Linked DNA regions of Mytilus edulis. The protein of the gene in region 2 purifies or fractionates together with the protein of the main gene of each other region. This does not show direct contact. Links are inferred from orthologs where the notes say so. Each region holds a gene or a part of one and is shown on either strand. Other genes may lie near its edges.

Region 1 (3,760 bases), on a different chromosome or scaffold from region 2:
TATCTTTTTAATATTGCCAAAAAGGGCATAGTTTTCAACACGTTAGGTAAAAACACTAAACCAATTTGTTAAAATCGCCATTTATGACAATGACTTCATCATGTTCATGTAATTGCGAGATGAGTCACAATTTTTGCTCCTTTACTTATTTTTTAGGCCTGATTTAGTAGTCCGAGATTACTCTGACGTCCAACGGCTGTTTTGCCAGACAGCTTTTGTCTGGCAAAACAGCCGTTGGACGTCAGAGTACAGCTTGTCTGGCATAACAGCCGTTGGACGTCAGAGTAATCTCGGACTATGATTTAGATGCTCAGTTATAAAGCTTATATATCATATTTGCTGTCGAACTATATCTCTATTCATCACTATTTTCATGATTAAAAAATTATACCAGTATATTAGTCTTAAGTCGAGACACAAAAAAGCAACTAACATTAAGGCAATTTAACACAGAGCACCCGAAATAGAATAGAAGTATTTGTAGTTACTGAAAGTTTTTTCAAAGCTAACAACAAGTTACACTCAAATAAATCTCGTTCTCCCAGATATATGTATCAATCAGAACACAACCAACGGATTAAGTCAAAAACAGTGTGAGAACCGCAATGACGTCGTACTTATACCAGTTTGGTGGTCAGAAGGTTCAAGTTAACCATCTATAAAGAACTCTGCAATATCTTTGCTTTATACTAATTTTGCTTTACACAAAAAAATCAGTTTAGCAAGTTACTTCAAGATGTCCTTATTGCTCATATACCAGACAAACATTGGCAAATTCTTGTACAATTTAAGATTATTAAAAAAAATAAAAATCAAATGACTTAGTTATAGGAAAGGATAGAGAAAAAAAGCCAAAATTGAGCACATGCTATTACAATATATAGTTTACCAACACAGGCGCTTGGGTCTATGATACAGATTTTTTTTTAATTTTTTTTTTTTATTAAAATATTCAATTTTCTATATTTATAATACATATCTATCACTTCTGTGCATGTCTCACCTAGTTTCGAGCGATTTAAACGACCCAGAGAAAATACCAAATTTTACTATCCATACTAAGAATTATGGATAGTAAAATTTGGTATTTTCTCTGGGTCGTTTAAATCGCTCGAAACTAGGTGAGACATGCACAGAAGTGATAGATATGTATTATAAATATAGAAAATTGAATATTTTAATAAAAAAAAAAAATTAAAAAAAAATCTGTATCATAGACCCAAGCGCCTGTGTTTACCAACTGACGTATCTTCATTTTCCAATAAATAATCGTAAACTTCACTTTTGTCTTCAAAATATTAAAAAAAGAATCTGTATTTATCCGACGGCTCATTGAGTTTTTGATATTTTATTGATAGAAAAAAATGTTGGAAGAGCTAGAAAATTGGCGGGAATTTAAAGGGAGACAACTTTAGCTTGAAAAAGATGGCTGCGCCCATGAAATTGGAAAGTTGTGTTCAAAATTATATTGAAAATACAGTTGCAGACCAAAGGACAACGATAAGCTCGGTCACAAAAGGTATTTATTTTGATTGCTGATCACTTATGTGTTCACGTATTTCTTAATTAAAAATCTACTGCTGAGCGGCCTAATGAAGAAAAGGGGGGAGGTGGTCTTACACAATAAGTCACAGCACAGGGTTTTTTTACCATTTGCCGGGTTTACGACTGTCATACAAGTGAGAGGTTCAGCTAGCTATAAAACCAGGTTCAATCCACCATTTTCTACATTAGAAAATGCCTGTACCAAGTCAGGAATATGACAGAACTTTGTTATCCATTCGTTTGATGTCATGGATGTGTTGGACTTTTGATTTTGCCTTTTGATTTTTGATTTTCCTTTTTGAATTTTCCTCGGAGTTCAGTATTTTTGTATCCATACGATCCCCGATTTTAACAAACCCCTGCGGTCACCGACTCTCAGCAACTGGTTATTCCTGACCTGATAAATATTAAAAAGTGGAGGGTTTTTGAATAACCAGTGGCTGTGAGTCTGACAATTATTGATTAAATGCAATATGTTATGTCACTATACTAAATTAGGAATGTTTGACATGTTTTCATACCATAATATGGTTTTAAGAAAACAATGCTCTATTTCATGTATTTTTGTTGAATAATTTGCTTAAAAAAAATAAATTATACGTCAATTGGTCTATACCATGTATACCATTATATGTCAACTGGTGTATTATATGTCAATTGAGGTACCGTATAATCCACCAATTGGTGGTTATTCCTGACCTGTTTATTACGACATTACACAGGCACTCTTCTTAGAATTTTTTCCCCAATATATGATAGGGAAAAGAAATCTGAGAGAAGTGCATATAAAGGTATATAGAAACAAATATTCTGAGACGAGTGCCTTTGGATATTAGTAGCATTTAATATATATATATATATTACCTTTTTCTATGCTGTGGCCTAAAGCAAACACAGCAGTGGCGGATCCAGCCTTTTTATAAATTAGAAGGGGGGTTCGAACTATTTGTCCCCATACCAAAACATTGATCGTCCAAAAAAATGGGTGTTCCAACCCCAGGAACCCTCCCCTGAATCCCTCACTGCACCAATCAATCGGTTTCCCTAGCCGACTGGACGCAATTACATGTACATGTACAACTGGACACAATTACGAATTATTTCCTATTTTGGCCCACTGAAATCATATTTTATTTTATTTATATTTATCAATAAATGTTTCTATAAATAAAAACCCTATTAAATTGTTTATACAAGTCATGTGAATTCTGTGAATGTTGATGACCATGACAAAATCATTCTGAAAATATTATAAGAACGACAATCTCGCCTGCAAAATAAAAAAAACAAAAACATATATATATATAGGTAAGTGCATATTGCCTTCTTTTGTTAATACATAGAAAGAAAAATATCTCCTGATTCTGTTCATATGCGTGATGCCTTTTATCTTGCCCAAATGACCCCACAATATGACAATTTGACTTTTTTTAGACTCTTGTGATCCTATTTTTGGTCAAAATAACATATGTTAACATGGTTAACTTAAGGTGGTACCTAACACTACAGGGAGATAACTTTTTGAAAATCAGCTAAACGTTTTAATTACATCATGTACATTGTGTTGATAAGGGAATATTAAGCTTCTCAATGATCAAAAGTATTGTCTGTCAAACTGCTATATAACCAGTGTAATTTTTCTGATTAAATGGTTGGTTCAAATGTTTTGAAATTTTTATGTTTTTCATAAGATGAAGCGATACACATAAAAAAAAATCCCATGGAGGTTTTCAAAAGTTGGAAGGTCTTTTTTTGTCAAAGGGTCAAAGTAAGTACTTTGTCAAAATTTTATGAAAATTAAACGAGCCAAATTAATTTTAGTCAAGGTGTTGGGTACCACCTTAATCTAAAAGTCCAAAGAACGCCGTAAGAAATGTTGACCTATTTAAAAAATATCATGATGAATGATAAGTTTACCACCGAGATGGATAAACTTGAATTTAGTGCTCCTTAAAAGGAGGAACTAACACAAAAACAAATATTTCCTTTACACATTCGACAGACATTTTGACTGCCATGTCTGCAACCACTGCTGAAGTAATTGAAGTAAAATACAAACTTGTGCATCTTTTTTTCCTACATGTGTCCTATGGAAATGTGTTTGAGATTAAGATTAGTGTATATGCTTTTATCAATCTAGACTGTTGTCCTTGATTTCTTCTTCAAGATACATTGTATATCAATATAGTGCTGTTTGGAATCGTGTGTATAATAA
Region 2 (3,760 bases):
GGGCGATATAAAATGAGACTGTTTGATGTGTAAATAGCAGTCTGCACCAAAAACTTTTGAGGGTACTAGTCCACAGGACAGGACTAGTAATTATTTTAATTTACTAGTCCTGAAAAATTTCCATTAGTCCGACACCATTGAGGGTCGCAAAGCGACCCGATCCAGCTAGGGGGGTTTGGGGGCATGCCCCCCCCAAAGAAATTTTGGAATCTAAGATGCAAAATCCTGCATTTTGAGCACACCTGAAGGGGTTTAAGCTGGTTGAAAATTATTTTTTTTCGCTAATTTTAAGGATTTTACATTTGCAAAAAATTATTAAACAAGGAAAACTGCCTACACTATTTATTTTTAGTCATAAGTTAATAACAAAAACAATGTCAGAGTTTCCAAGTAATTTATAGTTTTTTTTATTCCTCATAGTCTTTTAATAATTGCTTCAGTTTTAATTTAGACACCCCATTGGTTTTGTTATTGTCTTTGCAGTACGTGCAAAACATTAAGAATTCAATTCAATTCAAAGTTTTATTGCCATATAAACTTTACAGTTTGTGACATATAACAACAACAAAAACAAATAAAACAATAACTAAGTTACTCAATATATATATACAAATTAAGGTAAATATTAAAGGGTCCCCTGTCCTCAGTTCCATTGACTTTTTTATAAAGGAAACTAGTTTATTCATTTGTGTTGGTGTAGATGGATTAAGTTAAAGTATATATATAAATATGTCATTGTCAGTGAGATTAGCAAATGAATTATTTTCTCTGTTAATGCAATTAAAATATGTTAATCTAATATTTGAATTGTGAGAATAATTTAAATTATTTATAAATGTTTTTCATCATCTAGTACTTTGAATTTTTTGCAAAGTGAGGAATTTGAAAATGCCTTCCTTTTTCAATTAATAATGAATGGTCACTGATTATAAGTTTTGTAAAATTTTCTAAATTTAAAGTTTGAGTTAGAGAGGTAAGGTTTGATCAGTAGATTTGGATCAAGTCCTTTATACAAATTTAATTTACTTTTATCATCAATATATCTCAACTTATCCATCAACAGGTTGTTGTAGTATGAGTTTATTTATTAAGGATGACGGTCATTCTTCCAACTACAGGAGATCCGAAACTCTCTGGTCACCTCAGATTTTTTTTTGTTCAGAAACGTCATGATTTGATGATTGATCTCTTTCGTTTTATAGCCTTTCCTGGCTTTGCCCATCGGTACATTGAAGAATATTTACGTTCTCCGGTCTTTCTAATTACCAAAAAATCGAAGTGTAACAATACGATGTTGTGAAGATAACTCATAATGACATAAATCTATTTTAATAACTTTATTGGTGATGTGAAGTAAACTAAAACATTTTTATAACATTAAAGATATATAATTAATCGGGGGAAAACTTGTTAGTCTTTTCGTTTTATAAACAATTGCCGTCATTATTAGAAAATTTAATGTGTCCGTGTTGGTCCACTTTCTACTGGTTATAAGACAGATCGAGTTACCGGAACTACTGCGACAGGTTTTCGTTTCTGTTTCACTTCCTCGGGAAATGTACAATTATCGATCTCGATAGTTTAGACTTCGCAACACATTGATTTGACGATCTTTTCTGCATTACTTGTCAATTTGAACTTCAAATATGTTCAAATTTCAAGAAACATAAAAAGGACGTTATATTTCTTACTAGTCCGGTCGGGCTAGTGATATATAAAATTTACTAGTTCGAGCTGAAAATTACTAGTCTGGGGCATCAGGCTAGTGGTTAACGTCGCAGACTGAAATAGTGATGAAGACTTTTTTTTAATTTTGGAGGCAATTTGAATGGTGCAATGTTTATTTGATACAATAAACATATTTAAACTTTTAATATTTAGCTGAATGTTGTCTTCAAATGACCTTTAAATATCTGCTCCCAATAACTTTCTGGTGTTAAACAACAAGAAGGGGGGATAGGACCTTTATCGGGACTCCCCGATCAGCTGTTTTTAAGCTCGGGATTTCGGGATTGATACTTGTGGGATCTGGGAATTCTTTTTTCAAATTTCGGGACCTCAGGGTCGTGTTTTTAAGCCGGGGATTTCGGGATCAGGACCCCTCCTATCCCCTCTAAACAATCACTTTTTAGTAGGAGTGATTTTACTTATGGTGGACAAATTTAAAAAGTGAAAAATATCTATTCCCAGATTTGCAATTTGCTGATTTGATATGGATTTGCCCATTGTTGAAGTCCACATAGTTACCCTTTGTTGTACACATTATCATTCTTTAGATTTCAATAAACTTGTCTCCTTTTGATGAGTTATCATATGTAATTTATTATAAATATTCCTATAAAAAATGCAGTTTTTCAGATCTTTTGTTTATTATTTTCAGATGTGAAATTGGCACGATTAAAAGGGCTAGGGTATGAACAATCGGGATCTCTGTCTATTGGTACAGATATTTGTTTACCCTCCTTCGCCATTGTCTCTGTCTGATTTATAATATTTATCTGATTTATATTTCCCACTGTTCTGTAGAACCATTTTTAGGTTGTGGCGGGAGATTAATTTCACGTTTAAAAAAACGAATTTACATATAACATATTTACTGTGACCATAGACACAATCAGTTTTTATTTTTTCTAATCTTAATAAAAACAAATTAGAATATTCAGCAATATAAGTATAGTCTTAGTAATCATTTGCTATTTAACACAAATTTCTTTTTGCCTAAAAGTTTGTAAAATCAATAATCCGTATTAAAACCAGAGAAACTCGAACAGACGAAAAATTGAAAAATTATGTCACTGGGAAAAATATCAAAAGTTTCAAGGTTTTTATCCAAATCCCAGTAGTGTTTTTATTTAATTTAACATTTAATGTCACATAAATATTATTTTATCTAATAATTGGTGAAGTTTTTATTTTCTTTGTCAAGATTTCTACCCATGACCATATATTCTGAGTCTGGTGTAGCCTGATTCAGTGATAGTTTGTAGTTGTTATAGACAACTTAAGTTTGTAGTTGTTATAGACAACTTAAGTTTGTAGTTGTTATAGACAACTTAAGTTTGTAGTTCTTATATAAACAACTCACAAATCTTCTCCTGTTATTTCCTTATGTCTCAATGCTTTTGCTGGGAGAACTGATTGGGTGATGACGTTTATGCCGATTGACCTTTGGTCAACCTATATACAAGAGGGGGTAAGAGAGGTCCTGATCCGGAAATCCCGAGCTTAAAAACACCAGATCCCAAAATCCCGGGCTTAAAATCACGAAATCCGGAGGTCCTGAAATTGGAAAAAAAGAATTCCTGGATACCGAAAGGGTCAATCCCGAAATCCCAAGCTTAAAAATACCCAATTCCGGAGTCCCAATCCCGAACCTATCCCCCCTCATATACAAGAGGGTCTTGATGCCTTTTACCACCAGGCGTCAAACGATCATTTTCAGCTACTGATCATGCTGATAGTGTCAAATTGGTTAAAATTTAAACCCTATCGTAATGTCATTTTGCAAGAATTTTTACTGTTGTACTGTGGATTCATTATTATTCGTTGGATACCAATTTTTCGTGGATTTCGTGGGTACCAGGAAACCACGAATTTAAATATTCAACGAATTGCAAATTTTCTAAAGGAATATATGCATACTTTGTCAAAACCACGAATTTAAATACCCACGATTATGCAAGTTTTCCTCAAACCACGAAAATTGGTACCCACGAAAATAAATGAATCCACAGTATGTCATGAAGTACCCCAATTACTA
Region 3 (3,760 bases), on a different chromosome or scaffold from region 2:
AGTCTATGGAAAATCTAGAGGATTCTTATCCGCATCACCTCTCAATAATGTTTACATAACACAAATGCTAATCATTGATTGGTCAGTTACATGTTGTGATGTCACTGCAGATCTGAGAATTCCACGGACATATTAAAACAGACTATTTTGACCGTTATGTTAATTAATCTTAATTACAAAAGGAACAGTTAGATATGTCACCTGACTTTGAATGTTACCTTCACACAAAAATGGACAGATTCATGCTGTGATGTTCACTTAGCAGATCGTCTGTATATTCAAGAAGGTACAGGTGCTATTTCATTACCATATCTGAGGAACTGATCTTAGGTCATAAAAATAAAAGTCAATCAACACCTAGGCCATATGGTATCATAAAGTTTTACCTTAAACTATTAATCTCACCAGGCGACAGTTAGAGACAATTTATATACCCTTAATAATCGTAATATTTTATTATGGGGCCGGATCGACTTGGGGCCGGATCGACGTGGGCCGGATCGACTTGGGCCGGATCGACTTTGGGCCGGATTGACTTGGGGCCGGATCGGTTTGGGGCCGGAACGACTGGATACCATTAAAACTGGGTTAGCGGTAGGTATGAGATCAAGATATGTAAGATTCCTGTGCTTTTATCTTTCAGCCATGGTGTTGACTGTTGTTTGTTTATTTCTTATCCCCCCCATTTCTACATGCAAACATACACAATCCTGGAATTTCCAAGGTATTGATGCCCTTATCAACAATTTCCAGTTCATTGTTTTTGGTATCCTTACACTCCTCTATAAACTTCTTTGCTTTTGCTGCCATGATTGTCGACACCCAAAATATGTCCTATTTAGGAAAAGCAAAAATAAGGAAGTGCCTAGCAGCAGCTTCCGTTTCAATACGACGCCAAAATAGTCCTGTGATAAATATCTGATTCTAAATCCTAAAAGTATAATGTTATCAAAACTATCAAAAAGAAGGTGATTGATTAAAAAAAGTTACTTAAATTCATTACAAATATGTAACTTTTCCATCTTTGCGTATTAATATATAAAACTACTTTCAAGATGTCAGCGCCCATGTAGATACAACTTTTCATGTAAATAATATTGAAAAGGATAGAATTACTTGACTGATATGAGTATTAGACTGGTATTTTTCGCAACAACCCCTCAATAACATAATGAAAAATGTTTATCTGTTTAATTACACCAAATATATGTTATTGAAACTCTCTGTTCAGCTGAAGGGACACCTTTTTTTACTAGTAATAGTAGTAATCCATGAACATGTTTATTATCTATGTCTAATTTTGTAAATAAGTAGAGACTACCGTGGGAATTATACTTGTACTTTTACACATTAGCACAGTCTTTATGTAATGCCATGGTATCTACATGTATGTGTCATTGTCATTCCATTATTAAATCGGTCATTTGTAAAGATGTCTTATTATTCACATTCGCGCCTATTCACGTTGGCACCCTACATGTTCACGCCCAAATTTTATTTAAACTATCATATACTATGAAATACAAATCGTACATTGTATCTTCATATCTTTTTTTTTTTTTAAATAATGATCGAGTATTGGTTTTGTGTTCAATAATTTGTAAACGAGTTTTGAAAAGTGTATTGCTATAAATATTAATCCATCATATTGTCATACTTGTCCAAACACAAATGAGATCAGAGGAGACAAGCTGTTAAAAACAATTATATTTCATGTTTTTTATTTAAAATCTTGAAAGTTTTGTCATACCAAGCTAAATATATACATTTGTATGCAGTTATTTACATCAAAGCAAAGACTTAAAACAACTATCATGATTTTTATACACTAAAAAATAACACCAAATTAGCTGTGTATAAATACCAATTAGCAGTAATCATACATAATTAACATTTAGTAATTAATCATCAAATTAATAAAAAAAAAATATATTATAATTCCCTCAAATTTTATTCAAGAAACTAAAATTATTTGGTATATACATATAAAAAAATATCTAATAATTCAACTGAAATTCTAATACAAATTGGGTGCGAACGGACTTCGGGTGCGAACATGTGAGGTGCGACCGTGTAGGGTTGCGAAAATATATTGGGCGCGAATGGACCTGATACCTTCACTTTATATACGCAACACATACTTCATAGAACAATCACAAGATTGGGGGTGCATGCTGTGCAGTAGTTTTGTTGTCTAAAATTTGTGCACATTTTTATACGACGCGTCATATTATGCTATCATGTTGTCGTTGTCTGGTCGTCGTCTGAAGAGGCATTTAGTTTCCGGACAATAACTTTAGTTTTAATGAATAGATCTCTTTAAATTTTTATCAGAAGGTTTAATACCACTAAAGGAAGGTTGGGATTAATTGTGGGGTTATGGCCCAAACGGTGTAGGAATTAGGGGCCACAAAGGGGCCAAAAACAGCACTTTTCTAATACTTTGTATAAATTACTTATTTCTTGACCAATTTAAAAGGGGTTTTATTCTTAAATTCTTGAATCTAACCGTGAATTAAGTTTTTTGAATTTGATCCACGTTTTTAAATTGGTCCACATGAGGTCCCAAGGGTCCAGAATTAAACTTGATTATGGGCCCGGTTTTCAAGTTGGTTCAAATTGGGCTCCAAAATCAAACTTTGTTTAAACTTTGTTTGATTTTAACGAAAATTGAATTTATGGAGTTCTTTGATATGCTAAATCTAACCATGTATTTTGATTTTTGGGCCCTGTTATCAAATTGGTCCACAATGAGGTCAAAAGGGTCCAAAATTTAACTTTGTTTGATTTCATCAAAAATTGAATTCTTGGGATTATTTAATATGCAGAATCAATCCATGGCCATGTATTTAGATTTTGGATATTAGACCATAAAAGGTAAAAAAATTTTTTTACATTTAATAGACCACACTCATTCTGTGTCAGAAACCTATGATGTGTCAACTATTTAATCACAATCCAAATTCAGAGCTGTATCAAGCTTGAATGTTGTGTCCAGACTTGCCCCAACTGTACAGGGTTTGACCTCTGCGGTCGTATAAAGCTGCACCCTGCGAAGCATCTGGTTAGGATTACCTTTATCAATTTAATCATGCCTGAATAATCTGGATAAGGTGATAAGGTTTAGAATAATTTTGACGGGAAGAGACTCGTGAGGGTAAACATGGAATATAAAAAATGTCAAATACCACAGCATAGAGGGGAATTTGAGGCATATTCGCTGGCAGTGGTGACAAACATGCAAATATTCATCTATAGTAAAAAAAAAAATCATTTTTTGAATCTTTGTACCTTAAACTACATGTACAGTATGTTGAATTTTATTTCGGTTCTAGTCATATACTTTTCCTGTTTATTACAGAATGGCTCAACTTAAAGAAGTGTGTAGTTTTGATGGTCACAGTGACAGAGCATGGTGTGTGGCATGGAATCCTTCTGGCACATTACTGGCATCTAGTGGTGGGGATAAAGTTATAAGGATCTGGGGCAAAGAGGGAGACAACTGGGTCTGCAAATCTATTTTATCTGAAGGACATCAGAGAACAATACGTGCAGTTGGATGGTCCCCTTGTGGGAGTTATTTGGCTAGTGCAAGTTTTGATGCTACAGTTTGTATATGGAGCAGAAAAGAAGGAGAGTTTGAATGTATTGCAACATTGGAGGGCCATGAAAATGAAGTAAAGGCTGTATCCTGGTCATGTACTGGTAGTCTCCTTGCAACCTGCAGTAGAGACAAAAGTGTTTGGATTTGGGAAGGTAT

The links.
Region 1: the proteins of DNA polymerase epsilon catalytic subunit A-like (region 2) and MMS19 nucleotide excision repair protein homolog purify together in Homo sapiens (affinity purification with western blotting; 3 studies listed by BioGRID and IntAct, with this or other methods). This does not show direct contact. The link is inferred for Mytilus edulis from reciprocal best matches to the Homo sapiens genes POLE and MMS19.
Region 3: the proteins of DNA polymerase epsilon catalytic subunit A-like (region 2) and probable cytosolic iron-sulfur protein assembly protein CIAO1 homolog purify together in Homo sapiens (affinity purification with western blotting; 3 studies listed by BioGRID, with this or other methods). This does not show direct contact. The link is inferred for Mytilus edulis from reciprocal best matches to the Homo sapiens genes POLE and CIAO1.

Annotation. Positions count from the first base shown.
Region 1 is NC_092347.1:91,257,645-91,261,404, forward strand, and holds the start of MMS19 nucleotide excision repair protein homolog, read left to right. Parts: upstream 1-1,386; 5' UTR 1,387-1,425; coding exon 1,426-1,519; intron 1,520-3,760. UniProt on the Homo sapiens protein: Key component of the cytosolic iron-sulfur protein assembly (CIA) complex, a multiprotein complex that mediates the incorporation of iron-sulfur cluster into apoproteins specifically involved in DNA metabolism and genomic integrity.
Region 2 is NC_092348.1:84,503,476-84,507,235, reverse strand, and holds the start of DNA polymerase epsilon catalytic subunit A-like, read right to left. Parts: upstream 2,553-3,760; 5' UTR 2,533-2,552; coding exon 2,459-2,532; intron 1-2,458. Other genes in the region: large ribosomal subunit protein mL40-like, read left to right, coding at 2,790-2,821. UniProt on the Homo sapiens protein: Catalytic component of the DNA polymerase epsilon complex. Participates in chromosomal DNA replication.
Region 3 is NC_092345.1:69,389,621-69,393,380, forward strand, and holds the start of probable cytosolic iron-sulfur protein assembly protein CIAO1 homolog, read left to right. Parts: upstream 1-1,033; 5' UTR 1,034-1,087; exon of another isoform or gene 1,088-1,140; intron 1,141-3,361; 5' UTR 3,362-3,362; coding exon 3,363-3,756; intron 3,757-3,760. Other genes in the region: ras suppressor protein 1-like, read right to left, coding at 705-810. UniProt on the Homo sapiens protein: Key component of the cytosolic iron-sulfur protein assembly (CIA) complex, a multiprotein complex that mediates the incorporation of iron-sulfur cluster into extramitochondrial Fe/S proteins.